Linked DNA regions of Oryctolagus cuniculus. The protein of the gene in region 1 purifies or fractionates together with the protein of each later gene. This does not show direct contact. Links are inferred from orthologs where the notes say so. Each region holds a gene or a part of one and is shown on either strand. Other genes may lie near its edges. The genes, in order: MAGED2, GNAS, C1QBP, NAP1L1 and NAP1L4.

Region 1 (4,942 bases):
CAGGGCTCTGCCTAGAAATCTCTGAGGGCTAAGGGAGAGAGAAAAGGAGCCACAATTGACTGCGTGTCTGTGCTGTACCAGGCTGACAGGCATTCATCCATCTTCTTGGTAACCTGGGGAGGAGAGGGTGTGATTTTCTCATTTCACTGTATTGGAGTCTGTGGTCCATGAATCTTAAGTACCGTGCCCAGGGTCACATAGAGCTTGAAGCCTGGACAGGACAGAATTCTGCCATATCCAGGGAAGCTGTGAGAGGCTCACCTGATGTGACTTGCAGATGGCTCCTGCACATAAACTTTTCTCTGTCCATTATTCCCTTAGGACCAAGGACTCACCCAAGCTGGGCCTTCTCATGGTGCTGCTTAGCATCATCTTCATGAATGGAAATCGATCCAGTGAGGGTGAGTGGCGGGGCACGCAGCTGAACGGGTGGCTGGGGTCTGAATTCCGTGTGTTCATTTTCGGCCCTGTCTCCTCTTGCCTCCCCCTGCAGCTGTCATCTGGGAGGTGCTGCGCAAGTTGGGGCTGCGCCCTGGGTATGATTGGGCTCTCTCAGCGCTTGCTGTCCGTGTTGTCCTTTGGCAAGAGAGGACGGTCCCAGGATTGCATCTGCCTGGTGGTCTGGTGGCGCGGGTGGGGGGTGATGGGCTGGGTAGAGGGTCCTGGGTTCTGACCCGGGTGGTTGGGTGAGTGGCCGTGAACTATTTGCTCCCTCTCACTCTCTCTTCAGCTTCGATGGAGCTTCCCTCTGTGCTGAAAATCTTCTTCATATTGGAAACACCTCTGACCACATCTGGGAAGTGCCACAGCCCTAACTGTCTTTATTTATTTATTTTCATTTTTCTGTTCTCAGGATACATCACTCACTCTTTGGGGATGTGAAAAAGCTCATTACTGATGAGTTTGTGAAGCAGAAGTAAGTGTCTTTCTGGTGTTGGTGTGGTCCATGCATTTTATCTGTTTCAGAACTGAGTAATACAACCATGGTGTGTGTCAGTGTGTGCGTGCATGCGTGCATGCAGCTGGTGGGTTATTTCTGGAGCAGTGAACATAGAACAGGAGTAACACGCATTTCCTAATCTATTACTCTGTGTACTCTCACATTTGTCTCTCCAAGGGAGAGATTATCATCACTAGCATTGTCCATGGCAGAAACCGATTCTCAGAGGGGCAATGCCATTTGCTTAGGGTTACACAGGTAGCAGATGAAAGAATGGTGTTTAGGACTTGGCTCCACAGGCTTGCTTCATTTCACTGTGCTATCCAGGGCATCTTAGACATTAATTCTCATAAAGAAATGCCATAAAATGGTGTCTTTACGTAGCCAGGTACCAGGCTGGGGGGTGTAACTTGTATATCTCATTTCATTTTCTTACTGCCCTGCAAAACAGGTGTGGTTATCCCATCCCTGTTTTGTACTCGCAGAACGTGGGACTCCAAGAGGGGAATTCTAAGTATGGCCCACAGCTGCTAAGGGGCTTGTTTGGGCCTGGAGAGCAGTCCTCCTGACTTTCTGGTGAGAACCTGCCATGTCATTGGCCTTTGAAGAATGTGCAAGCACACACATAGGCACTCAGAGCCACCTGAGCACACAGGAACACAGGCACACTCACACACAGGGTCAGGAATTTAGGACTATGCCTGCAGCATTCTGATCATGGCTATCTCTTCCTTTACCATCTTTTTCTGTGGTGGACCTCTCCAGGGTTTAGCCAGATTGCAGATAAGAACCCTTAGGGTGGGGTGTGCTCAGAGCAAGGGGCCTGAAGAATGGCTCCTCTGTTTACAACACACCCAACAGGAATCTTGGGTCATTGTGATGAGGTCCATAAAACTTGTGGCCTCTTTACAAACTAATGCCCTACACATGTGCCCTGTGCACCTTCATGTGGCTATCAGGCAAGACCAGTGGCACGAGGCTCAATGTTGGAAGAAAAGTTGCAGTGTTCAGTGGAGCACATCACCACATAAAGTCTCTCTAGTCTTTGCCTTGGTGGGCCCTGGGTTGTCTTAGAAATAAAGGTTTTCAACTTCTCTTTTCTAGGTACCTGGACTATGCCAGAGTCCCCAATAGCAATCCCCCTGAGTATGAGTTCTTTTGGGGCCTGCGCTCCTACTATGAGACCAGCAAGATGAAAGTCCTCAAGTTTGCCTGCAAGGTAATTGGAGAGCTACCTAAACTTGGCATATTGAGAGCATGGTGTGCCCTTGGATGGGGCCAGCTATGTGCAGAGCAGCCTGTAGTTCATATCTCAGCGATCAGAAGCGTCTGTTAATTGCCAAACACCATGCCGGGCACTTTTATCTGAATTATTTAACCTGTACAAGTAGTATGTCATTGCCGTGTTGCAGATGAGAAAACGGAGACTCAGAGAGGTTAGTAGGTGACATGTTCAAGGTCATAAAGCTAATAAGTATCAGAGCAAGGATGGACTATTAGGTACATAGTTGGTAGTAGTACTTAACTGTATTCATAATATTAAATACAGCCTATAGCTTGGTGCCTTATTTAGGTGCTCTCTAAATATGACCCTTCTTGTGGCTGTTGTTTCAGGTACAAAAGAAGGATCCCAAGGAATGGGCAGCTCAGTACCGAGAGGCAATGGAAGCAGATTTGAAGGCTGCAGCTGAGGCTGCAGCTGAAGCCAAGGCGAGGGCTGAGATTAGAGCTCGAATGGGCATTGGGCTTGGCTCTGAGAATGCTGCTGGGCCCTGCAACTGGGATGAAGCTGATATTGGACCCTGGGCCAAAGCCCGGATCCAGGCAGGAGCTGAAGCTAAAGCCAAAGCCCAAGAGAGTGGTGGTGCCAGTGCCAGTGCCAGTACCAGTACCAGTACCAGTGCCAGTACCAGTACTGGTGCCAGTGCCAGTGCCAGCAGTGGCTTCAGTGCCAGTGCCAGCCTGACTGCCACTCTCACGTTTGGGCTCTTTGCTGGCCTTGGCGGTGCTGGTGCCAGCACCAGTGGCAGCTCTGGTGCCTGTGGTTTCTCCTACAAGTGAGATTTCAGGTATCTGCCTTGGTTGTGGTGGGGCTAGCTGGGGCCCACAGGGATGGGGTGTGGAGCTGGGCTGCTGCTGGAAGGCCTGGGTTGGAGAAGGCAGTGGAGGGTGTGCAAAGACACTGTTGGCATTGGCATTTTATTCCTTCGTGTTTGGTGGATATTACCTGACTTTTTTGATTTTCTTTTACTTGTGTTTTCAGATATTGTTAATCCCAGCAGTCTTTCTCCTCAAGCCAGGGTGCATCCTCAGAAACTTACTCAAGATAGCACTCTTGGCAGCCACTATCAATCAATTGAAGTTGACACTCTGCATTAAATCTATTTGCCATTTCTGAGTTTCTTGCTTTTTTTTTTTGGTGGGCTGTCAGTTTGGCATCACATTTAAAAAGGAATGCGGGATATTTCCACCTCAATCTATGTTTATTTTGATAATACTGTTGGATCCCCAGGAGTGAGATTAGCCTGTTTCTCTGGGCTAGGTTGAGCCCCATCTCTAGCCAATAGGGCAGGTGGGATTTCAGTGGGGGTGCAGACAGGTGGATTGGAGGCACCAAGGACACAATTCGAAAAAGAGGTTTGGGATGGGCAAGTCTGGAGCAGGAAGCAGAGGGAGAAGAGACTGGAAATGACATGTTGACTCTCCTTTTGAGAAATCTGGGTGAGACAGGAGAGAAAGAGGCAGGTAGACAAAAGGAGATAAAAGAACAAGGGAACATTTTCTTGGGGAAGGAGAAATGAGCAGAGCAAGAGCCAGTGGAGAGGAAGACGTTGAATGGGTTCTGGGATGGGGATGGGACCTGGGAAAGTCCAGACAGGACTCTGACAGGAGACTGTGGAAGGATGTTGAACAATGGGGAAGCACCCATAGGACATGGTGCCCATGATTTGAGGGGGAATATAGCAAGATGCTCTGTAATCTTGGTGCAGGGACTGAGAAGCAGAGCAGTGTCGGCTTATTCCCAGTTTTGAGTTTTGGTGTTTGGATCAGAATAAAGACACAGGCCCAATGGCAGCAATGTCAGTGTATGAATCTCGATCTTCATTACTGACTCCGTAGTTTCTGCACATAGACACATGGGATGGTGGAAGAGATGGACCATAGGTGGGCTTATGAGGAGACATGAAGAGAGTGATAGACTGTGCAGGTATGTATGGATAGGAGTCTCAGTGAAGACCATGAATGGGGATAGAAGGTTAGGTGCCTGAGCACCTGTTGCATGTCTGGCAGTATTCCAAGGATTTAGGAAGGGTTGTTGACAGGACAAACAGGAGGGCTAGTTAGACAGACAGTTGGATGATTCTACTGAAGAAGACAGCAGAGCTGTAGGTGATGGTGAAGTCCAAAGACAGGGGATGGAAGATGAGAGATGATAGTTCTGCAGATGTGAGGTCAATGGCATAGGTCAGGGTACTGGTTAGGTTATCCTTGGGGACAGTAAAATCACCTAAATGGTGGTGGAGGTGGGGATATTATGAACAAGGTACCAAAGTCCTTTTGTGGTTGAAGGTGTTCTCCCAGTTACACTACCCACTAAGAGAGGACTGACCCCTGCTCTCAGAGATCCAGTGCCCTGATTGGAGGTGGGTACTGCCCTGGCCCTTTCCCCATGAAGCTTTCACCATCTCTGATCCTTGTATTTCCAGGCTTGCAGTCACTGGGGCAGTTTTATGGACAAGGAGGCCTTTGTAATGCTCACCTCTTCCCTCTGTAGTAAGGGCAGAGCATTTTATTGCTTAGGCAATAGGATTGAAAAGTGGGAAAGTTATTGAATTGAAGTGTGTGTTCACTGCTATGGTGGTTATCAATGAAAGCAGATTCTTACATTAGGGACTAGACCATGGTCTCCTTGGGGACTGGGTAATACCAGGGACAGGTAGACAAGGTCAGAGGCAGCTTTGGCCTCAGGAAGGGCTCTAGTGGGTATTGTGTCCAGGCCCC
Region 2 (4,029 bases), on another chromosome or scaffold:
CCGAGACCACCCCCAAACCAGCCATAAACCCCGCAGCCGAAATCTTCCCCAGAGCGGAAGGATGTGTGGCGCTCTGAGACCTGCGCCCCGTGGGGCTCGGCTCCCCAGCGTGTCCCGCGACCCCCATTCCGTGCCGCCGCGGCCGCTACACTGCGGGGAGGCGGGGGGCTTGGCTTGGTTCTCCATGGTGCAGTCAGGAGACCCCCATATTGCGTCGCATCATTGTCCACAAAAACAGAGGGACCCCTTACTGCGCCGCCCACGGCCACTGCGGAGACCCCAGGAGCCACGGGGGTGGGCGATGCTAAAGTGCCTCGCCACGGCGGACCGCGGCAAGTGTACCCAAGGCGTTTTACAAAACAAACTGTGCGCTCGCTCTCGACAGCCCCCCTCGCTCCTCATCCTCCTCCCTGCCCTTCCGGTGGGCTCACGACCACCTGTCGCATTCCCGCGCGCGCACGCCACTGTCCCCGGGCATCTAGAGCCTTACGCTTGGCTCGAGATCTGGGGCTAGGGGCTTCGGCGCAGGGGTGCAGGGGTATCCTGGGGTGAAGGAAGAAAAAGAAAGCCCTCTGCAGTCCCCCGCCCCCCGAGGAGAGTCGGCGCGGGCGGGGAGGGAGCGATTCTGCTCCTGTTCTCCAGCATCCCGAGGCCCACGTCTTGTGTCACGTGTCTCGCTCGCAACGCAGGAGAGCTTTGTGTGGCCAAGGGGAGAAGCGAGGAGAAAGGCTCCAAATCAGTCAGGGAGAGGCGTGGAAGGAGCCCAAACGTCCCTGCGAGGCCTGCGCTCGCCAGCCCCTTACCCAAAGCCGGGCCGGCGGTGCAGGGAACCAGCTTGGCACCGGGACCTGCGTCCTCTGGTGGCAGAGAGAGCGCGCGACTGGCGATTTTCGGACCGAATCGGCACGCTCCTCAAATCCAAGCAGTCTGTGTTGGCCTGGAGCAGAGAGAGAGAGAGAGAGAGAGAGAGAGAGAGGAGGGGACGAAGGCCGAGCAGGCCGGGTGGGGGCCTGAGGGAATCACCAGTGGCCAGGAAGGAGCCAAGACTTCACCAGCCAGAACTGCACTGCCTTGGCCATGGTCTGGGGTTCTAGGCCCTGAGTGCGCTCGGGAAGTGAGGCCGCAGAACTTCCCAGCTGGTACTTTTTTCTTTCTTCCTTTCAAATAATTTTTTTCACCCTAGTTCGGTTGGGTGCTCCGTCTCACGGAGCCCCCACATCATTGTAAGAGGCCGCCACCGTGTTATGGGCCTGCGCTACTGCCTCGACGGCAATAATATGTCAGGACAACGCCATCTCCCCCCTGAAGTCGGGGAGCAGCCTCCACAGCCAGCCTTGGAGGCCCCAGGGCCAGCTGCCCCCGGTGCTGGGCCTGGCCCAGCCGAAGAGATGGAGACCCAGCCGCCTGCCAGCGAGCCCGTCCCCGCACAGGCTGGCGCCGAGGCCTGTGAACCCCCTGAGGTCTCCGGGGGCACCCTGGAGGGCCTCGCCGTGGCAGCTGACCAGGAATTCGGAGGCGATGGAGGCTACAGCCCACCTCCCGAGGAAGCCATGCCTTTTGAGGTCCAGCAGCCCAGCGTGGGAGGCTTCTGGCCCACCCCAGGGCCCATCGCAGGCCTCGAGGCCTCTGTGGATCCCGGAGTCTCGGGCAGTGCCGGGCCTGGCCTGGGAGGCTACAGCCCCCCACCAGAAGAAGCCATGCCCTTTGAGTTCGAGGAGCCTGCTGGCCAGGGAGGCTGCAGCCAGCCAGCATCGGGGGTCCCCGACCTCGCTCCCGGTGGCACAGACCTGGGGGTCCCTGGAGCTCCTCCCGGGAAGTCCGGGGCGCTCAGGCCTGCCAGCGCTGGCCTTGGAGGAGGCTATAGCCCTCCCCCCGAGGAGGCTATGCCATTTCAGCTTGATGGAGAGGCCTTTGGGGACGACAGCCCACCCCCCGGGCTCCCCCGAGCGCTCCCACAAGTTGCCAACGGCGACGGTGGCAGCAGCGCGGCAATCGCGGTCCCGAGTGCGGTCTGCCTCGCTCCCGCCACCGACGCGCCACCCCTCTGGGTCCCAGAGGCTGTCAGAGCTGCTGCTAACTTCGCGGGCGCCAGCCCCCCGATGGAGATCGCCGGACCCCCGCTCGAGATGCGCAGCGCCCCCGTCGGGGTCGACGACGCTCCCGTCAGCATGGACAGCCCCCCAATCGCGAGTGATGGCCCGCCCATCAAGGTCTCCGGAGCCCCAGATAAGAGGGAGCGCGGCGAGAGACCCCCAGTTGAGGGTGAAGCAGCCGAGATGGAAGGAGGCTCGGTCAGCGCCTCTGCGGAGAAAGGAGAAGTCCCCTCTCCGGGGGACGGAGCCTCGGGCGCCCCAGCTGGGGCCGCTCCCGCCGCCGGAGCCGCTCCCGCCGCCCCGGCGGAGCCCGAAGCCGGGGGAGCCCCGGCCGCTCCTGGCACTGCGGCCGCCGGGGCAGCCCCGGCCGATGCCGAAGCCGACGCCGACACCCGCGCAGCCCCCGGCGCCGCAGCCGCTCCTGATGCCGGGGCAGCCCCTGCCGCCGGTGGAGCCCCTGGTGCCCCGGCCGAGCACGCCGCAGCCGCCGGGGCCCCCCAGGCAGCCCCCGCCGCGCCTGCCTCCGGGGCCAGACGCAGGCTCCATCTGCTCAGACCCCCCAGCCCCGAGATCCAGGCTGCTGACCCGCCTACTCCGCGGCCTGCTCGCGCGGCTGCCTGGCGGGGCAGAGCTGAGCGCGGCCGAAGCCGCCGCCGCTACGACGACGAGGGGTCGACCAGCGGCGACGCCGACTCCTCCAGCGGGGACGAGTCCGAAGAGCGGGCCGCCGGCTGCTTCCACTGGTTCCAGCGCCGCACACGCCGCCGCCGCAAGCCCCGGCGCAACTTGCTCCGCAACTTCCTCGTGCAGGCTTTCGGGGGCTGCTTCGGTGGTCGATCTGAGAGCCCCCAGCCCAAGCCCGCGAGCCCCAGCAAGGCCAAGAAGGTTTCTCTGGCAGAGAAGCGCCGACAGATGCGCAGGGAGGCCATGGAGAAGCGCGCCCAGAAGCGCGCCGAGAAGAAACGCAGCAGGCTCATCGACAAGCAGCTGCAGGCCGAGAAGATGGGCTACATGTGCACTCACCGCCTGCTGCTTCTAGGTAACGCGGCGGCGGACTCTGCCCAGGGGCAGCAGCCCCGCCGGGGACCGGGGAGGGGGCGCGGGGCGCGGGGCTCGGCCGCGGGAGGAGGGGGCACGGCCAGGAAGTTCCACGGAGGGACCCTAACTTTGCCCCGGGCGCGGGAGGGGAGCTGGGGCGGGTTCGGGTGGCCGAGGTGTGTGCCCTCCAGGGAGAAAAGTGGTGCCGAGCGACACTGAGGGTCGTTTCCGGCTGGACAGGCCAGCGCCAGCGACCGTAAGCTGGACAGGCGGGGGCTTCAGGTGAGCCGGGAACTGCCGGAAAGGGGCGCCCACTCTCCGCCGGCTTAGGTTTGTTGGGGCCGCGGTGGGCTAGGGCCATCGGGGAAGGCGCGCCCCCGCCTCGCCTGGCACGGCTTGTTCTCGGCCAGCTTGTCGTTGGTGTGTGTCGGTGTGCGTATTCTCTGTGTCCGCCTGTGCATGACACGCTCAAGTGTTCCCCATCCCCGGCAACCCCCCCATCCCCGGATTACCCGCCGACCGTGTACTTGTACTTGGGGACGGGCTGTCGTGATGCGCGCCATGGCGCGGGCTGAAACTTTGCGCGTCTGCACACTCGTATGACACCTGTGCGCCGGCACTCCGCGGCGGAACCCGGCTGGGCCACCGGCCCGGGGGGGCGCCTCGGTAACCTTGTTCCTCTGTGTCTTTCTCTCTTTCTCCCTGTGCGCTAAGTGTTTCCTCACTTCTCATTCGTTCGCCAAACCCTCCCGCCTTTACAGTTGAAAAACCAGACACGCAGCACAGGTATCTGGGGCATTGGGGCTGCACACTGGATTTCAGCATTGCGCACAAGCACACTCACCTGGAGGGGGATGGGAAGTGGCTGGGGTGGGGGATGGAGGACATCTAGCCTGCT
Region 3 (6,208 bases), on another chromosome or scaffold:
GGCATTAGCAGGGAGCTGGTTTGGAAATGGAGCGGCCAGGACTGGAACCAGTGTTCATATGGGGTGCCTGTGTTGCAGGCAGTGGTCCTTACATTGCAGTTTAGTTATTCGCTGTGATCTTTTTTTCCTTCTTCGTAGGAAGTCGGGGGCAGTGTGGCTTTGCTCCTTCCCGACTGCCCAGCCCTTGTTGTCTGCGTTTGTTGGGGGGACATTGAGGGTCTCCACAGTCTCTTCCTGTCCAGATATTTTGAGAAGGGAAAGACACTAAAGGTTCTTCTCAGCTATGTCATCATCAAAAACAAATGCTCTTTCCCCAGGGAGAGTCTGGCCTGGCAAGATCTGTCCTCTTATTGTGTGGCATTTTGTCACTGTTTACCAAATGCGTCATCTGGCTGATAAGCAGGGAGCAGACCTGCCTTAGAGGCTCTGCAAAGACAGCGCAGTCTCCACCCTGGGGCAGGGGGGGAGCGAGGGGCACCCCCACTGCAGCGTCTCAGCTGTCTCCAGATGTGTGTGTCCAGTCCCGCCCTGTCAGCATGTGTGCCCGAGCCACCAGCCCTCACTCAACACTCAGGTTTTCAGCCAGGTTTCCGGGGTGTCAGCACATGTGGTTTAGTTGTGGTAACAGTGGTCACATGTAGATGAAATGGGATGTGACTGATCCTATATACCTCACCTCACAGTGTGGCTTTTCCACACGTTGCTGACTTTCTGGAGTTTTCCAGAAAGTTCTTTCTGTTTTGTTTTTAGTGTATTTTTCTCATTCATTTAATAGAAAGCAAGGATGTTTAGCCGAAGCTGACGAAAGAAATATAATGTATTTTAAATAAAACATTGGTCATTCTGTTAAAAAGAAATGGGGGGTGGGGGATAATTTATTAGGCTCCTCAGCAAATCCTCTAGCGAGAGGTATTCTCCAGGTCAGGTAAAACTCACCTTGCGTAATTTATATCCGGCTTAAGCACCCGAGAAGTTTCCAGAGACTCATGTTCTTCTCCGGGGGGCAGAGGATGCAAACAGCTTCTAAGTAGCTTTCATGTTTCAGTACAGAAATATGTTTACCCCTGTAACACTGAGGTAGTTTTTAATATAGTATTTAGTTTTCTATTGGGCTTTTAAGGAAGTTATTTTTTTATCATAGCTGCTCAGGGATGAATCCAGGTTGGAAAGCCCACCCTAGCTCCACGTCACTAACACAGAAATAAGACCTGTCTGTCGAGCTGCAGGGGATGCTACACCTTAAACTTAGCGCTTTCACAGTGACACTGCACCATAGCCCCGAGCTACCCTTTCCCACCTCCTCTGAGCGGCTGTGTGCAAACAGTGTCCTCAAGCAGGCGGCGTGGGGCGTGGCTCAGGCGGCTGTCCTGCTTACATCATCACAGAGGGTGAAACGTGGGGTAGGGCACCTTTCCTTACAAGGGCGAGGACCCCAATCCCTGTCCTTGATAAAAAGCTTTCATGCTGCAAACCTGCTGACTGGGAAGGAGATGCCAGATGAGGACAAGGTTTTGCTCGGGGAGGGAAATTGCACTGTGATACCTAAATCCTCCGTCCACTACGGATGTGGCCATGCATCTCTGACACCAGTGCTTTAGCATAAGAGAAAGCACGGGCCCCGTGGGCGAGAATGTTATGTTGTATTTCATAAGAATATTGTAACCTGCAGAGAAATCCCGAGGGAGGGAAAAAATCAGGTTGGCTCAGGCGTACGTTGTATTTTGAGTCTTAAATAAAGCTATGAAAAGATCAACTCCTGTGTATATATATAATGCTCACATTCGCACCTGACTAGCAAGTGTCCATTGAGAACAAGTCTTGTACATGATGCATGTCCCTTCTTTCTTGTGTGTCCTTGCCCTTATTCACAGAAAGCTGTTTTGAAAATATTAAGTATTAGCCTTACGATTGCCACAAAGCTAGGGAGACATTTTCTTGGTACCTTCCACACCCTGGCGAGTGCAGAACCAGATGTTAGCCATGGCTTCTGGCTCCCGGCAAAATGACTTTGCCTGAGAACTTGGATGCAAGGCCGGAGGGAGCAGGTGAAGCCAGTCACGAGAGGTTAACCATGGGCACCGCGCCTCGCGCCTCTGGGTCTCACCTGGCTGCAGTGAGGGGAGTCAGCCAGGCAAGCGAGCAAAGCCAGGGCTTGATGCACACGAGAGAGCAGAGAAGGCCTGCGAGAGGTGTGCTGCCGTCGAGTGTGGAGGACGTGTGCAAGCCTGGCGCGCTCTGAGAATTAACCACAAAGCTCTGCGCACCAGACCCCAACACACTCCCGGGGCGGTCCAGGAATCCGGATTCGAGGCTGCACCGGCGGTCCCCGGCAGAGGGCGCCATCCGGCCCGCGGTGCCTTCGGTCTTTGGAGCGCCGGCGGCGGGAGACGCTTCCGGGCGAGGGCGGGCTTCCGGCGGCGGGAGGTCACTTGGGCGCTTTGGCCCGGGTCGTCCGTCGCCGCCGCACGTGTCTGACGCCGTCCGCGCGATGCTACCGCTGCTTCGCTGCGTGCCCCGCGCCCTGGGCCCCGCCGTCGCCGGCCTCCGCGCCGCGGCCCCGGCCCCGCCGCTCCGGCCGCTGCTGCTGCCCGCGCCCCGGCCTTGCGCCCGGCCGTTCGGGCTGCTCAGCGTGCGCGCGGGCTCGGTGCGGCGGCCCGGCCTCCTGCGGGCTCGCGAGCCCTGCTCCTGCGGCTGCGGCGCGCTGCACACGGAGGGTGAGGGGCTCGCGCGTGGCGTGGGGGACCTGATTCCCGACGGCGACTGACAGCACCGCTCCCCGGCTCCCCCGGCCCCGGGTGCGGTTTGGGGGGTGGGGTGCTGCGGCGCTCGTGACGGAATTGGCTTCTCCGGGCGAGCGGATGCAGCTGCCCGCTTCCAGGCCGGATAGCGTTGGGGAGGCGAGGCGGATGCCGGGCAGAGGGCGGCGGTCCCCGGGTCCCCGGGTCCCCGGGTCCCTGTCGGGTGCTTGGCGCTCCTTGACGTCTCCGCGATTCCTCCCCAGGAGATAAAGCCTTTGTGGATTTCCTTACCGACGAGATTAAGGAGGAGAAGAAAATCCAGAAGCATAAAGCCCTTCCCAAGATGTCTGGAGGCTGGGAGCTGGAGGTGAACGGCACAGAGGCTAAACTCGTGCGCAAAGTGGCCGGGGAGAAGTAAGTGCACGGCGCGCCCCGGGGTGCGCGGCGTGGGGCGGCCTCTGGCTCGGGACCCTAAGCTCGCTGGAGCCACATGTCAGCCACCCCGTGTGACTTCACAGCGGGACCCTTCCGCAGCCGCCCTGTCCCTTCTTCCCCCTCCGGCCCCTTGAAACCGCCAAGCTGCCTTCTCTGGATTTGCCTGTGTGGGACATTTTGTGTGAGTGGGAGTCATGCAATATGTGGCCATTTGTGTCTACCTCCCCCCCCCCCCCCAAGATTGATTTATTGGCTTGAAAGGTAGAGTTAGAGACGTCTTCCATCCACCCCAACAGCCAGAGCTGGGCCAAGCTGGAGCCAGGAGCCAGGCAGCAGGCACTTTTTCCATGTCCTCCCACGTGGGTGCAAGGGTCCAACACTTGGGCCAGCTTTTTTTTTTTTTTTTTTTAAGATTAATTTATTTGAGAGGCAGAGAGTAAGAGAATTACAGAGAGAAGGTTACAGAGAGGCGTCTGAGCAGGGAGCTGGATCCAAAGCAGAGCAGCCTATGGGTGCCAGCGTTGTAGGCAGCAGCTTAGCCAGCTGTGCCACAACACTGTCACCCCCGCACCCCCGTTGTTTTTGAGGTTCATTCATACTAGTAATAGCATGTACCAATAGTTAGCTTTTTTAATGACAACATAATATTTCATTATGTGGATATGCTAGATTTTATTTATGTAAGGAAATGGGAGACAGACCAGAGGAGACAAGATACGAAGTCAACGGCCAAAATCAATTAAGAAGAAAAATGGGAGCCAGCGCTGTGGCATAGCACGCTAAGCTGCCACCTGCGGTGCCTGCATCCCATATGGGTGCCGGTTCAAGTCTTGGCTGCTCCACTTCTGACCCAGCGCCCTGTTTCTGCTCCTGGGAAAGCAGCGGAAAATGGCTCAAGTGCTTGGGTCCCTGCACCCACATGGGAGGCCTGGAAGAAGTTCCTGGTTTCCATCTGGCCATTGTAGCCATTTGGGGAGTGAACCAGCAGATGGAAGATCTCTTTCTAACTCTGTCTTTCAAATACAATAAATAAATCATAAAGGAAAAAAAAAAAGACAAGTGAATTTGCAAAGATGGCCAACCACTGGCATGCGCACAGACAGAACACGTGGCCGAGAGAGCAGGAATTTATTTACGGGCTGGATTTAAATAGCATAGGCCTGATAAGGGCCATGAGGTGCAGTGGAGCTGAGCTAGCTTTTCTATGGAATGCAGAATGCAGAGGGTAGGGTGGGCAACAGTACAGGGCGTAGGACTGAGCTGGTCTCTTGAAGGAAGGTAAAGGGTCCCTCAGGCAAAGAGCCACAATGCCTGAGGCTCATGTCCTTGTTCTGTCAGTTATCCATTCATTTGTTGGCAGGCATTTGACAGGGTTCTATTTACTTTGTGATTCTGGTTTTTTATTTATTTATTTTTTTAATTTTATTTATCTGACAGATAGTTATAGACAGAGACAGAGAGAAAGGTTTTCCTTCCGTTGGTTCACCCCCCAAATGGCTGCTACGGCCGGCGCTGCGCCAGTCCGAAGGCAGGAGCCAGGTGCTTCTCCTGGTCTCCCATGGGGTGCAGGGCCCAAGCACTTGGGCCATCCTTCACTGCCTTCCCGGGCCACAGCAGAGAGCTGGCCTGGAAGAAGGGCAACTGGGACAGAATCTGGCGCCCCGACCGGGACTAGAACCCGGTGTGCCAGGCGCCGCAATGCAGAGGATTAGCCTATTGAGCCACAGCGCCGGCCTTTACTGTCGTTTTGAAAGACAGATAGCTCCCATGTGCTACTTCACTCCCTAAATATTGAAATGTCCAGGTATAGGCTACGCTGGAGCTGGGAGCTGAATCCAGGTTACCAGGTTATTGCCTTAAAGGTGGGCTTTAGATATTCTGGGTGCAGTTCCCCTTATCAGACACAGGGTGTGCAAGTGTTTTCTCCCATCCTTGGGTGTTTTTTTCCTTTCCCTATGTTATTGGTATTGACATACACTTTTTTTAGTTATTGTTTGACTACACCAAGTGAACTATTTTTTTAAAGATTTATTTATTTATTTGAAAGAGTTACGCAGTCACTCCCCAGTTGGCCACAACGACCAGAGCTGTGCCAATCCAAAACCAGGAGTCAGGAGCTTCTGCGTCTCCCACATGGGTGCAGGGGCCCAAGGACTTAAGCCATCTTCTATTGCTTTCCCAGGCCATAGCAGAGAGCCAGGTATGGAGTGGAGCAGCCGGGTCTCAAACTGGCGCCCATATGGGATGCCTGCACTGCAGGCCAGGGCGTTGACCCGCTGTGCCAAAGCACAGGCCCCAACATACACTTCTAATTTTGATGAAGCTCAATTTACTGGGTTTTGTTTTTTGTGTATGTGGGCTTTTTTTTTGTTTTTTTGTCATTTGTGCTTTTTTGACATCACATTTGACAAACTGTTGGGTAACCAAAGTTTCTAGATATTTATGCCCGGATTTACTTGTAAGAGGAGTTTAGCTCTTTAGGCCCGTGATCACTTTGAGTCAACTTTTGTGTACAGTGTGAAGTGTAGGGTTCTGATGCTTTTTCCCCTAGGGTGCAGGGGTTTCGCCCATACACAGTGTCAGTTGACGACTGAAGCTTCACTTGAACTTTTCTTCCGGTTTTCGTAGCCAGTTTGGGGCCGTTAGAAATGATACCCTGATGAACAGTGCTGTGTTTCTGTGTCGAGGAACTCAGCTTGGTCAGCGTGGTTGCAGATAGTTTCTGGGGCTGAGCCTCAGCCTGCCGCTGTTGCCTTGGGAAGGAGCAGCCCGTTAGCTGAGCAGTGGTGTGCAGGGTGCGGGGTCTGCGCTGCCCAGCCACACCTGGTCTACCCCACTGTCACAGGGATTGTGACTCAACCTTCGGAACATGGAATGTCACGAGGATTCTTGTACCTTACGGTTGTCATGTGTTGGTGTTCCAGCCCGTGGGATGAGTCCACAGTGAACGCACTGTCCTTTGCCTGGCCTTGTCTTCCAGGGCGCAGGCCTGCTCTGAGTCCTCAGGTGTATCCCCGCAGTGTGCCTTCCCTTCC
Region 4 (5,537 bases), on another chromosome or scaffold:
GCAATATGAAAATCCTTCTCTACCAAACATGCTTAGTGCGATCATTGAAAATCTAAAACCATTTAATGAGAACAGCAATTAACCTAAAAGGAAAAGGAATCAGACTAACACCAGGCTTCAAAAGAAACTGTGTACAAAAAGAAAATGAATTATAATGTTAAAAGATATTTTGAGAACTCTAAATTTACAACTTCATGACCAAACTGTTATTCAGATATGAAAGCAAGATAAAAACTGTATCACACATATCAGGCTTCAAGAGGTCTGCCACAGATTTACAAAAAAAAAAAGAAAAAGAAAAACACACAGGAGATTCCATATAAGGAATGGGTGGTCAAATATCTTGGTAAATTCCACTGTTGCCTTGAAGGAAAATATAATAAGTACTATTTTTAAACAATACAGATACTGAAAAATTTTAGCTTCAAAACAAGAAGACAATCTTACTCAATGAAAAGTGGAAAATAAAGAAAAAAGAAAGCACAACAAACGAAGATACAGGGAAAGATGGCAAGTGTTAAGTCCAAAATAATATAACCTCCAAGAAACAAAGTTGAACTTACTAATAAGAAGCAAACATCCTTACTGGAGGAAGAAAAAAGAAAGCAGGAGTAGGTATTTACAGAACTTACAGCAACAAAAAAGAAAATCATAAAATACAAAGGAGGACACTATCAGTAAAACAGAAGAAAACAAGATACATATATCACAAACACCATCAACCTAATAATATGGCTTCAAAATGTATCAATCTGCAACTGATAAAACTAGAGAAAGATAAATCAGGAGATTTTTAACCCATCTTTGTCAAAAACTTAGATCAGGCAGACAAGTTATAAGTCATGAGCTATTGATTCTAGCACATATCTTTATATTTAACATTTACTTTAAAGAAAGGTATTAAAGCCATAAAGATAGATTGAAAAAAAAATTACATGAATTAAGCATGTCATTAAAGAAACTGGAAAGAGGTATAGAAGAAACCTAAGAAATAATAACAGTACAGCCTGAAATTAGTAAAAGAAAGCAGCAATAAACAAAAACAGTATGGAAAAGGAAAATCTAAAGCAAAACTGTCCTGAGTAACACCAGCAAGGTCAAGACAATTGGCAAAACTAATTAAGATTCAAATATTGAATATGAAATGGAAAATAAAAATCAGATACTTAAAAATACCATAAATCACAATACTAATAGGTTTAAAACCTATACAAAATGCATACCTATTGAGAATCTAGAACTCCAAAATCAAGAGACCTTGACTGTATCAATTAAAACAAAGATAGTCAGCCTCAAACTCCAGAAGCCCAAGTAAATTTTTAGCAGAGTTCTACCTAACCATATAGGAAAACTTCATTTCTACCTTATACAAGTTGTTAGAGAAAAACAGACCAAAAAGGTAAAAGCAGTCCCATTCATTTCATTGAGCAGTTGAAATTAACTCCAAAGCTGATTAAGGTACTACCATAGCTTGAAAGTTTCTTTATCCCCATGCACATGTGCGCGCACACACACACACACACACACACACACGAATACACATTAGATTAACTAATTAACAATGTAACAACACATCATGATTAAGTTTATTCCAGGAATGCAAAGCCAGTGTATTTCCAAAATATGTATTTAACAGATTCAAAAGATCATCTGAATTGATACAGACAGTTGTACTTTTAAAAAATAGGCACTGAATTTGGATTAAAAAAAAAAAACAGGCACTGAATATAATGGAGATACTCATTCCCAATAAAAGTGGAAATAAGATAAAGATGCCCATTTTAATCCTAATGCTGTTATAAACAAAGAAAATAATTTGAAACATGGAAAATTAGAGCTAAAACTGCCATTATTTGCAGCTAAGATCTGCCAGGCAGAGGGAAAAAAGCACAAAACAAATTGGTAAGCAAATTTACCAAGTTACTGGTTACAAGGTCAATTTTATACAAATCAATAGCACTCTGTACATCAGGAATAGTCAATCGAGTAATACAATTAAAAAAAGAGACCATATTCACAAAAGCAACACAACTAAAACATATGGATATGAACCAGACTGTAAAGAAAACTGGAACTATTTAAGACACATGTGATCTAAATAAATACAAGTATACAGACGAAACAATATTTTAAAATGTAATTCTCTAATGAATCTATAAACTCAAGGTAATTTTTACCAAATTTTTGAAGTTTTTTGTTTGTTTTGAGAGCCCTGACAAATTTAACTGTCAACTCTATCCAGAACAAAGATCGGGTTAGATCAGCTTTAAGATTATGTTGGATAGTGGAGAGACATGGAAGGAAGCAGCCTGCCTTGCCAAATGTTAAAAAGACACACACTATGGAGTCAAATGGATTGTGATGATGATAAAAGAACCAAAGACAATGGAACAGAAGAGCGCTGCTCAAAGACAAACACAAGTATTTATAAGAACTGGATTTGTAATAAAAGGCAGTACACAAATGCATGAGGGAAGGACAGATTTAGTTAATTCACTGAAAATGAAGGACGCAGGGAAAGGGAATGGATGCTTACTTAACACCAAATACAAGGATAGCCTCTAGAGACTAAAGGCCTAAATATGAAAGGTAAAACTAAACTAGTCAATACCGAATGCAGAAGGAACTAGAAAGGAGTTCTTAACTTCAAAAGCACAAACCATAGGGCAAAACATTTTACAAAAATTAAAAATTTCTCTTTAACTGAGGAAACAAATTGGTAGAACTGACACAATGCATTACTTACAAAATCTAAATCTGACAAGGAAACATACAGAATACAAAAAAGATTTCTGCAAAAAACAAAAACAAAAACAAAAACAAAAGACAGTAACTCTAATAGCAAAACAAAGGATGCATGAGTAACCTAAAAGGCTCACCAGCTTTATGAAGTCATTAGAAATAAGAAAAATACAAATGAAACAAAATCAGCCCCCACTTCTTTCTTCTTGTGGCTTAAAAATAAATGCGTAGGAGCTAGCATTGTGGCACAGCAAGTTAAGCCGCTACTTCCAACCCCAGCACTAATGAAGTGCCAGTTCAAGTCCCAGCTGCTCCACTTCCATTACAGCTCCCTTCCATTGTGTCTGGGAAGGCAGCAAATGATGGCACAATTTCTTGGGCCCCTGCCAACCACATAGGAGACACAGATGGAGTTCCTGGCTCCTGGCTTCAGCCTGGCCTGGACCTGGCTGTTGCAGGCATTTGGGAAGTGAACCAGCAGATATCTTTCCCTCTCTTCCTCCTTCCCTTTCTCTCTGTCATTTAGTTTCAAATACGTAAAAATCTTAAAAGTAAAAAAAAGTACCTAAAAAACTACAAAGTTGGATGATGCCAATTTTTTGCAGACATAAAGATAAAGCACCCTTCATGTACTAGATATAGAACTTTTGGAAATCATGCCAGAAGTCCTCAAGCCTTGCATATGCCATTTAACTAAATAATCCCATAGCTGAATACGTATCTCAAAGAAATTCTTACATAGTTCCTTAAGAGGACATGCGCTAGGATGTCCATCACAATAAAATTTTCATTGATGGGGACAGGAATCTTTTAAAGAAAAAGAAGATAACGAATAGTGGACACACACTACAGAGAAGTTGGCAACATTCAGAAACTACTAACTGGAGACACACAAAGATAGCAGCCTGAACAGCCTTAAAATCATGGAAGATACACAGGCTATTGTTAACAATTTAGGTCACAAAAGAGTAAGAAATCTACATTTCTAATTTTGTGCTCTTCTAATAAACCTAAATATATCTCAGAAATGGTTAAGATCAGTTTGTTTCCTGTGGACTTAAAATAAATTTTAAATCCAACTCTAAACAGGTAGTACTGAGCAAAAATTCCAAACTTCCAAGAATCCTCATCATCCTGGGTACTAACAGACATTAAGGTTTCCACTATTACATACATAAATCCTAGGTGGCCTTAAAAATAGATACAACTGGCAATGTTGATCACAGAAAGATAAATAAGGAAAGGGCTACAGAAAAGAACTTGTACCTTTCAATGTATCCTGTTGGTGTTTCTACCAAACCATCAAGTCTTTCTTGAAGGGCTGCAAGAATCTGAGGATTTTGCATCATCTGAACAGTCAGTTGACGCGCTTTAAAAAAAAAGGGGTATTGAAAGAAGGATTTTATGAAAATATATTATGCTTTATAAAATAGGTCAATCCAATCATGAAAATTTTCCTGACTCACCCAAAAACTGGTGAGTAGAGATGAGCAGAACAAGCTTAAGAAAATACACTCTTAGAAAACCCAATGTTTAGGAAATGTTGAGATTCTAATGATCTCTAATGCATGACATTTCTCAAGGCCATTGCCACAACTATTAACAGTATGTTTTCTCTTCCTAGTGCCTTGTGTCTCACCCACCTTGCATTTTGGGAAGCTCAAAGCTTCATCCAGATGCCTATCTATGACTCTTGACATTCCTTAGATGGTAAGCAACACATACCAGAAAATTGCAAAGACAGTGACAATTTTAAGCCTGGGAGCAAGACGGAATGAGTGATCTGAATGAATGTTTATGTTTGATGATTGTGTAGTGTACCTGTGTATATATGAATAAAGCTAATGGTTGAGATAAAGGTTATGACTGAAGCCAAACAAAACTTGCTTGCTAATGGCTTCTAAAAATCATATTCAATCCAAATAAGAGCCAGATTTATGCAAAACAAATGCTATCTTCTCTTCATCAATTTAGATAATACACAAAACTGCTATTACTCTTCCCAATTTGGTTCTTGGAGGTCAACTTACTTCTGATACTAATTCAATTAATGGATGATATTCAACTGTGACAGTCAACATGCATTTAGAAACATCAATATTGGACACTGAAGATACAGTCCTGTATCTGGTAAGAAAATGCTACAAGATGAAAGCTTTAAGTTCAGAGTCTTTTCACAATTAACCTCCATGTAGCTCCAAAATGAAAAGTCTCAGGTCACCTGGAACTTAACATTCTTGGCCCAGATCTACAGGGCATAACAAAAACAATATAATTCTTGGCCACTACTCTTTAAAAAATTATCTAAGATAAATTCTGAATGATTTTTGCCTATACTTAATACATTTTTTGATTAGAAGAATCTATTTTTAGATGCTATATATTTTCTATATATTAAACATGGAAAATGCTGTTTAGAAGCACCACTAAAAATCACAGCCATGACTACCTATTAAAATTTCTAAATTTAGATGAAACTAACGGCAGTTATACCATGTCATTCCAGCAGAAGAAGTTGTAAACAGTGATGTCTGATGAGTCACTATATCCACAAACGTCCTTCCTTACACTATACCCTCCCCCAATACACAAACTCTTACTGAACTGGAGGACATGTGGACAACAAAGGCCCCCCCAGAAGGGGAATGGTACTTATTACTATCCTCTAGAAGACATGTGCCAACCACTGGCACCTGAAGTAATTTAAAATAATACCTTTGATTTTTGTTTCTTCACCAGTTTCTTCTTCTTCTACTTCTTCAACATCATCCAAATCTTGATCAAGTTCAGACTGT
Region 5 (6,327 bases), on another chromosome or scaffold:
TCGTGGTGTCGGCATCACCTAAGCTTGGGCTGGAAGTGAGTAGGCCTCTCCCAGCTCAGGGGTCTTCCGGGAGGAGAGAACATTTCTGGGAGGAGACGGGGCCCCGTGGAAAGCCCCTCAGGACCTTGGGAAGTCTCAGGGGATCCCAGTGGTGAGGGGGGAGGGGCCCTTGTCGGGGCAGCTCTGTCAGACACAGACGCTGGGAACGCTGTCCCCAGGCATTGAGGGGACGTGCCAGGAGGCTAGGGCAGATCAGGTGTCACGTGTGGGGACTGGGCGGAGGCCTGTCTCCCCCCACCGCAGGGCAGGCCCTGGCCTCTGCCCCACCCTGGGCTCTTAGTGGGCCCCCGTGTGTGGCGGGAGCCGCCAGCCGCGGAACCTGGAAGCTGGCAGAGGCAGGAGCCTCGGGGGTGCTGGGCAGCCCCGATTCTGACTCTTGCTCCAAGCAGCCACGGGCCGAGGACACGGACCGCATTCTCAAACCGTTTCTCTGGCACAGAAAAGCACCTTTGGGGCGACTCGGGGCCCTGTTCCGGTCCGTCCCCCCGCCGTCACTGTGCAGGGCTGTGCACACAGGGCAGCAGCTGCCTCCTCCCCTTCTGCCGGGGCGGGGCGTGCTGCCAGTGCCCTCCCCGTGCTGCCACGGTGCCGCAGCCGCCTGCTCTGGGCGCCTCCCCTGACCTATATTTGGGGGTGTGAGGCTCCCTGAGCTATTGGAGGCTCCCGGATGCCCCGGGAGGCTTGTGCCCCGCCACCCCTCCTCCCTTGCCGTGCCCCCTGCCAGGGCTGGGGGGGAAGTGAGGCCCAGACATTAGCAGAGCTGGGGGGGGGCAGTGGCAGCACTGGGGAGGGGAGGCAGAGGGCACTTCGCTCCCATCCAATCCTGAGATGGGGTTTCCAGGGGCAGCAGGTGTGGCCAGGTGGACTCCACCATGCCGGCCCGGCCAGGGTGGGCGACAGACAGACCCAGCAGTCTGGCCGCCCGGCCTGGCGCCAGCTCCGGGCCCCGTGGGCCGAGTCCGCGGCAGTGTCCCCACCGTACAGGGCCGCTCCGGCCCTGCCTGCAGCCCTGTGATGCAGGAGTCACGAGTGCCCATTCCACAGATGGGGAGCAGAGGCCCAGGCATCGGCCCAAGGTCGCCCAGAGCTGGCCTTGGGGCTGTCGCCCAGCAGTCCCTGTCCTGTAAGGCCACCACCCTCCGCACAGGCCGTGGACGAGCCAGGACGGTGTGTGCCGTGGGCCGCGGCACAGTCCCCCAGATTCTGTGCAGGTCCCAACCTTTGGTGCCTGCGGGACAGGGAGAGGCGAGCCAGGGATGGGCACGAGTGCCAGGACCCAGTGGCCGGCGTCCTTTACTATTTCTCCTTTTTAAAAGGATTTATTTATCTGACAGAGAGAGAGAGCCCGCTGGTTCACTCCCCAGTGGCTGCAACAGCCGGAGCTGGGCTGATCAGGAGCCCCTGCCTGGTCTCCCACGTGGCTGCAGGGGACAAGGACTTGAGCCATCTTCCGAGACTTTCCCAGGCCACAGCAGAGAGCTGGATCAGAAGCAGAGCAGTCGGGACCAGGACCAGAACCAGAACCTGTATGGGACGCCCGTGTCACCGGTGGCAGCTTGACCTGCTCAGCACCGGACTCGTATGGGTTCTGGTTCGAGTCCCGGCTGCTCCACTTCAACCCAGCTCCCTGCTAACGGCCTGGGAAAGCAGTGGACAATGGCCCAAGTGCTTGGACTCCTGCACCCACGTGGGGGACCTGGACCGAGTTCCAGGCTCCTGGCTTTGGCCTGGCCCAGCCCTGCAGCCATCTGGGGAGTGAAGCAGCAGATGGAAGACCTCTCTCTCTCTCTCCTTTTGTTCTGTAGCTCTGCCTTTCAAATAAATCTCTAAGAAAGGAGAGAGCAAGGCAGACCAGGACCCTCCCCGGCCCTCCAGAACCAAGGACGCGTTTCTGCTACTGAACCCGCCGCAGGGCCACAGGAGACCCACCGGCCGTGCCCACAGCGGGAGGGCGGACGTCTCCCTGCGGGTGACCGGGGCGGACAGAGAGGCGTCCCAGGCCGTGCCCTCGGCCCGCGACCCAGGGGACCCCGGGAGAGCGAGAGGGCGAGAGCCGCGGAGGAAGTGCGCCCGGGCGCAGCCGTCTTGGCCGCCGAGGACCCTGCCCCAGCTGACCCTGCGCGGCTCCTCCGGGGTTCACGTCCCCGCCTGCAGACAGCAATGCGCGTCCGCACCCCGCCGCCCCCAGCCCTCGGCGCGCGAGCCCCGTTACGGAGCGGAACCGACCGCCCGCGCCTGCACGGCTCCAGGCGGCCTCGGGGTCCGATCCGGGGCCCCGCGTCCCTGCGTGCCCCCGGGCGCGGCCGGGTGTGCCCCAGGCCCGAGCCAGGCTGCTGAGACCCCGAGACGCAGGCGGTGCCCGGGGCAGGGGGCGCGACCCCCACGCCCACCCCGGACGGAGAGGGGCGCGCCCGGAGCAAGGGGGGCTGCAGGGCACCCCCGCCCCGCTCCGCCGCGCCCGCCCTCTACCAGCGGAGCCCCCGGGAACGCGCGCTGCGCGCCGGCGATGCCATCACACGCTCTCATTTGCATACGCCTCGCGGGTCTGCGCGCGGCGCGCCCTCCGATTGGTCGCCGCCCGCCGCGCTCAGGCGCAGTTGACTTGCGTGGCGCCTGTCCAATCGCAGCCCGCTTTGCTGGCGGAGGGAAGGGCCTGGAGGCTCGGCCAATGGGAAGCAGCGTTGTTGGAGGCCACGGCGGCGCAGCCCCCGGAGCGAGCGAAGCGAGCGCCGCAGCCGCTACTGCCGCAGGAGGCGTGAGGTGCGGGTCTGCGAGGCTCGGCCGGGTAACGGCGCGCTGGGCCTGCGGTGGGCGGGCCGGAGCGGGGCCGGGCGGGGGCCGCGGCGGGCCGCGGCGGGCCGCGGGGGCCTGGGCGCCATCTCGGGGCAGGGCCGCGGCGGCGGTGCGGGGCGGGCGCGGGTCTCGCCGGGGCCGCGGGGCCCGCGCTGGGCGCCCGCCCCTCGGCCGCGCGCGCCGGGGCTGAAGGTCAGGGGTGCTCTGTCCCGCGCCGTGGCCCGACGCGCGAGCGGGAGCCTGGGCCCGCGCCTTCGAGGCGGCCCGCCCGGGGGTGCAGCACGGAGGGGCGCCCTGGCCGCTGCGGGGCGCTGAGAGAACGCACAGCAGAGCGCGGACCCCCGCGAGCTCCCCGCCGAGGGTCGCGGGCTCGGCCTGTGGGCCGCCGGGCCCCGCGCGGGAGCCGCGCCGCTGAGCGCCCTGCACGTCCGCAGGCGGCGAAGTCGGCGGCTCGGGTCGGGGCCGCTCGCGGGCCGGGCGGCCGCCAGACGCTCCAGAGGGGCGGGCCGCCCGGTCACGTGCCGAGGACTCGCAGTGCGGGCCCGGGGCGCTGCTGGGGTGGCGGAGGTCCGGGGGGGGCCCCGTGCGGTCCGAGGGCGGCAACTCGTTGGGGTTCTCGGCGCCAGGGCGCGCCGTGGCCCGCGGGGCCTGGAGGGGCCTGGAGGGGCCCTGCGGGGTCTGCGGGGTCTGCGGGCGCGGCGGCCCCACCTGGCGGTGGGAGCGGGAGCTCCCGGAAGTGCGTTTCCTGCGCGTGTCGGTGGCTTCTCACTTGCTCGGGGCGAGGGGAGGCTTGCTGGTCTGACCCGGTTTCCCTTGCGGTTCGCCAGGCAGCGGGTCCGTGAGGAGGCCGCACAGGTGCCCCGGGAGCCGCCGGGCGGTGGTCTCCCTGCCCGCTCCCGACCCGCGCAGCGAACTTGGGAATTGTGCTTGGTGAGCGTCGAGGCCTGCGGGACTCCCCCAGACCCCTCACCGGCGCCTGTGAGCCGGAGAGATCTGCGGTGGGCTGTCGGGGCCGGGCGCGGGGTCACGGGCTCTGTTGAGGGGACCCCAGTGTGGCCGGAGAAGCGGCAGGAAGGAGTTGGGTTCGCCTCCCTCCTCCTGTCGGTGCGAATCCTGCAGGCTCTGGTGCACCTACTCTGTTGGAGAGGAAGACTGAGCCCAGCAGGGGGGTGGGCGCCGTGTGCCCCCGCTCCTGCCCCTGTGGGGGGGAGGGCGCCCCGACTCTGCCCCTGCCCCTGTGCTGGGGGAAGCCGCCCCACTCTCCCTCTGCTCCTCTGCCAGGGGGAGCCGCCCTGACTCTGCCCCTGTGCCGGGGGGAGCGGCCAACTCTGCCCCTGCCCCTGTGCTGGGGGGAGCCGCCCCACTCTCCCTCTGCCCCTGCCCCTGTGCCGGGGGAGCCGCCGACTCTGCCCCTGCCCCTGTGCTGGGGGGAGCCGCCCTGACTCTGCCCCTGCCCCTGTGCCGGGGGGGGGGGGGGGGGAGCCGCTGACTCTGCCCCTGCCCCTGTGCCGGGGGGGAGCTGCCGACTCTGCCCCTGCCCCTGTGCTGGGGGAGCCGCCCCACTCTCCCTCTGCTCCTCTGCCAGGGGGAGCCGCCTGACTCTGCCCCTGCCCCTGTGCTGGGGGGAGCCGCCCCGACTCTGCCCCTGCCCCTGCCCCTGTGCTGGGGGGAGCCGCCCCGACTCTGCCCCTGCCCCTGCCCCTGTGCTGGGGGGAGCCGCCCCGACTCTGCCCCTGCCCCTGCGCTGGGGGAAGCGGCCTAGGAGTCCGAGGAGTCGCAGGAAGCCGCCCTCGTCCGGTCTGGGCGTGCTGGGCGCCTGGCTTGCTGCGTTGTCTGTGTGGAAGGCCTTAGCGAAGGGTAGAGGGAGAAGCATTCTGGGATTGGCTGTCGGGAGGCGTGGTCCGCAGTGGGGAGGGAGGGGTGTTCTGTGGCGCTCACTGGTGGTCCGCCCCGGCCGGCCGCTGGTCTTGAGCGTGGCTGGCCCGGGAGCTGGAGAGGCGTGTCCTGCCTCCGTGCTGTGGGAGAGCCCGCTGTGTGCGGCTTCTCAGCCCGTGCTCCTGAGAGGTGAACTCTGCGCTTCATTGTTGTCCAAAAGTGCGTAGCATCGTCTTGGCCTGGTGGTTTTGTGCAGGGTCGGTTGGGGCTGCACCGACCGCGTTCTGGCAGGCAGTGTCTGTCGCTTCGCTTGTGGGTGAGCAGTGGGAGCTGGGGCCCGTGGTTCCGGCGTGGCATGATGTGGCGTGGGAGGAGGTGCTGCTAACAGGGCAGTGTGGCCTCTGAGTACTGGGTTAGGAGCACTTGGGCTTTCTGACGCTCGCTTCGATCCGTCGTATTCCAGTGAGTTCCCCAGAAGACAGTGTGGGGTGGGGTGGGGACAGGCCCCTGTGCCCCACGTGGAGGTAGAGGGTTTGGGTTAACTTCTAGGCCTTGGCTTGGCCTGCAGCAGGACTCTGGAGGGCCCTGCCCGTGCGCAGGTGGACAGGGTGGCAGAGGTCGCCGCTGTGGAGCTGAGGAGCCATCTCCGGCCTGAGCCTTCCCAGGCCGCCGGGCGCCCGGGGTCTCCACCCCCGCCGTGCGCAGAGACGGGCAGACTCGCAGCAGCAGTGGGAAGTGGACACTCCGTGCTGCCCTGCAGAGCGAGTGTCTCAGTGGGACAGCAGGCGAGCACTGTCCATCGTGGTTTGTGCTTTTTTTTGACAAGAGATTTCATGGTTTTCAAGACCGAGCAGGGGCCCCGTTCCTGTCACTATTTGCCGGTCTTACCTGTAAGTCTTTTTTTCCAGTTTTTTTTTTTTTTTTTTTTAAAGATTTATTTGAAAGAGTGACAGAGAGGTTTTCCTTCCACTGGTTCACTCAGATGGCTGCAAGGCCAGACCTGGGTCGATCCAAAGCCAGGAGCTTCATCCGGGTCTCCAAGCACTTGGGCCATCCTCCACTGCTAGTTTCCCAGGTGCATCGGCAGGGAGCTGGATGGGAAGTGGAAGCCGGGCCAAGAACTGGTGCCCGTATGGGATGCCGGCGCCACAGGCATTACCCATCAGGCCACAGCGCTGGCCCGGTCTGTGAGCATGTTGTGTGATTTTTAAGATATTTTATTTTTAAATGGCATGTACATATTACATGTGGTCCTAAAGCCTCTTCTATATATATTTCTTAATCTGAAGGAGACAGATCTTCCATCCCTGGTTGACTCCTATGGCCTGGATCAGGCTGAGTCAGGAGCTCAGAGCAGGTGGCAGGACCCCCCCCCCCCATGCCCGAGCTGTCGGGAGCTGCCCCTCGCCTGTGCGTTAGCACAAAGCTGGATCCTCCGCAGAGGAACTGGACCTGAACCAGGCACTGCGGTGGGCATCCCACAGCACCCCAGCAGCTCGTCCACGTGCCGGGCCCTGTAGGCTTTTATTTTTGAGGGATTGATTTATTTATTTGAAAGGGAGAATTGCAGAGAGAGGTCTTCCATCCTCTGGCTCCCCA

Evidence for each region.
Region 2: the proteins of MAGED2 (region 1) and GNAS purify together in Homo sapiens (affinity purification with mass spectrometry; 3 studies listed by BioGRID, counting the BioPlex papers as one, with this or other methods). This does not show direct contact. The link is inferred for Oryctolagus cuniculus from reciprocal best matches to the Homo sapiens genes MAGED2 and GNAS.
Region 3: the proteins of MAGED2 (region 1) and C1QBP purify together in Homo sapiens (affinity purification with mass spectrometry; 3 studies listed by BioGRID and IntAct, counting the BioPlex papers as one, with this or other methods). This does not show direct contact. The link is inferred for Oryctolagus cuniculus from reciprocal best matches to the Homo sapiens genes MAGED2 and C1QBP.
Region 4: the proteins of MAGED2 (region 1) and NAP1L1 purify together in Homo sapiens (affinity purification with mass spectrometry; 4 studies listed by BioGRID and IntAct, counting the BioPlex papers as one, with this or other methods). This does not show direct contact. The link is inferred for Oryctolagus cuniculus from reciprocal best matches to the Homo sapiens genes MAGED2 and NAP1L1.
Region 5: the proteins of MAGED2 (region 1) and NAP1L4 purify together in Homo sapiens (affinity purification with mass spectrometry; 3 studies listed by BioGRID and IntAct, counting the BioPlex papers as one, with this or other methods). This does not show direct contact. The link is inferred for Oryctolagus cuniculus from reciprocal best matches to the Homo sapiens genes MAGED2 and NAP1L4.

The regions. Positions count from the first base shown.
Region 1 is NC_091453.1:38,860,439-38,865,380, forward strand, and holds the end of MAGED2 (melanoma-associated antigen D2), read left to right. Parts: intron 1-321; coding exon 322-401; intron 402-493; coding exon 494-536; intron 537-853; coding exon 854-916; intron 917-1,740; exon of another isoform or gene 1,741-1,869; intron 1,870-2,044; coding exon 2,045-2,159; intron 2,160-2,554; coding exon 2,555-3,001; 3' UTR 3,002-3,009; intron 3,010-3,203; downstream 3,204-4,942. UniProt on the Homo sapiens protein: Regulates the expression, localization to the plasma membrane and function of the sodium chloride cotransporters SLC12A1 and SLC12A3, two key components of salt reabsorption in the distal renal tubule.
Region 2 is NC_091442.1:3,426,355-3,430,383, reverse strand, and holds the start of GNAS (guanine nucleotide-binding protein G(s) subunit alpha isoforms XLas), read left to right. Parts: upstream 1-1,229; 5' UTR 1,230-1,244; coding exon 1,245-3,132; intron 3,133-4,029. UniProt on the Homo sapiens protein: Guanine nucleotide-binding proteins (G proteins) function as transducers in numerous signaling pathways controlled by G protein-coupled receptors (GPCRs).
Region 3 is NC_091448.1:50,895,060-50,901,267, forward strand, and holds the start of C1QBP (complement component 1 Q subcomponent-binding protein, mitochondrial), read left to right. Parts: upstream 1-2,400; 5' UTR 2,401-2,488; coding exon 2,489-2,714; intron 2,715-3,001; coding exon 3,002-3,152; intron 3,153-6,208.
Region 4 is NC_091442.1:78,567,630-78,573,166, forward strand, and holds part of NAP1L1 (nucleosome assembly protein 1-like 1), read right to left. Parts: coding exon 5,458-5,537; intron 4,112-5,457; coding exon 4,009-4,111; intron 1-4,008. UniProt on the Homo sapiens protein: Histone chaperone that plays a role in the nuclear import of H2A-H2B and nucleosome assembly.
Region 5 is NC_091432.1:762,236-768,562, forward strand, and holds the start of NAP1L4 (nucleosome assembly protein 1-like 4), read left to right. Parts: upstream 1-2,682; 5' UTR 2,683-2,820; exon of another isoform or gene 2,821-2,845; intron 2,846-3,760; exon of another isoform or gene 3,761-3,783; intron 3,784-6,327. UniProt on the Homo sapiens protein: Acts as a histone chaperone in nucleosome assembly.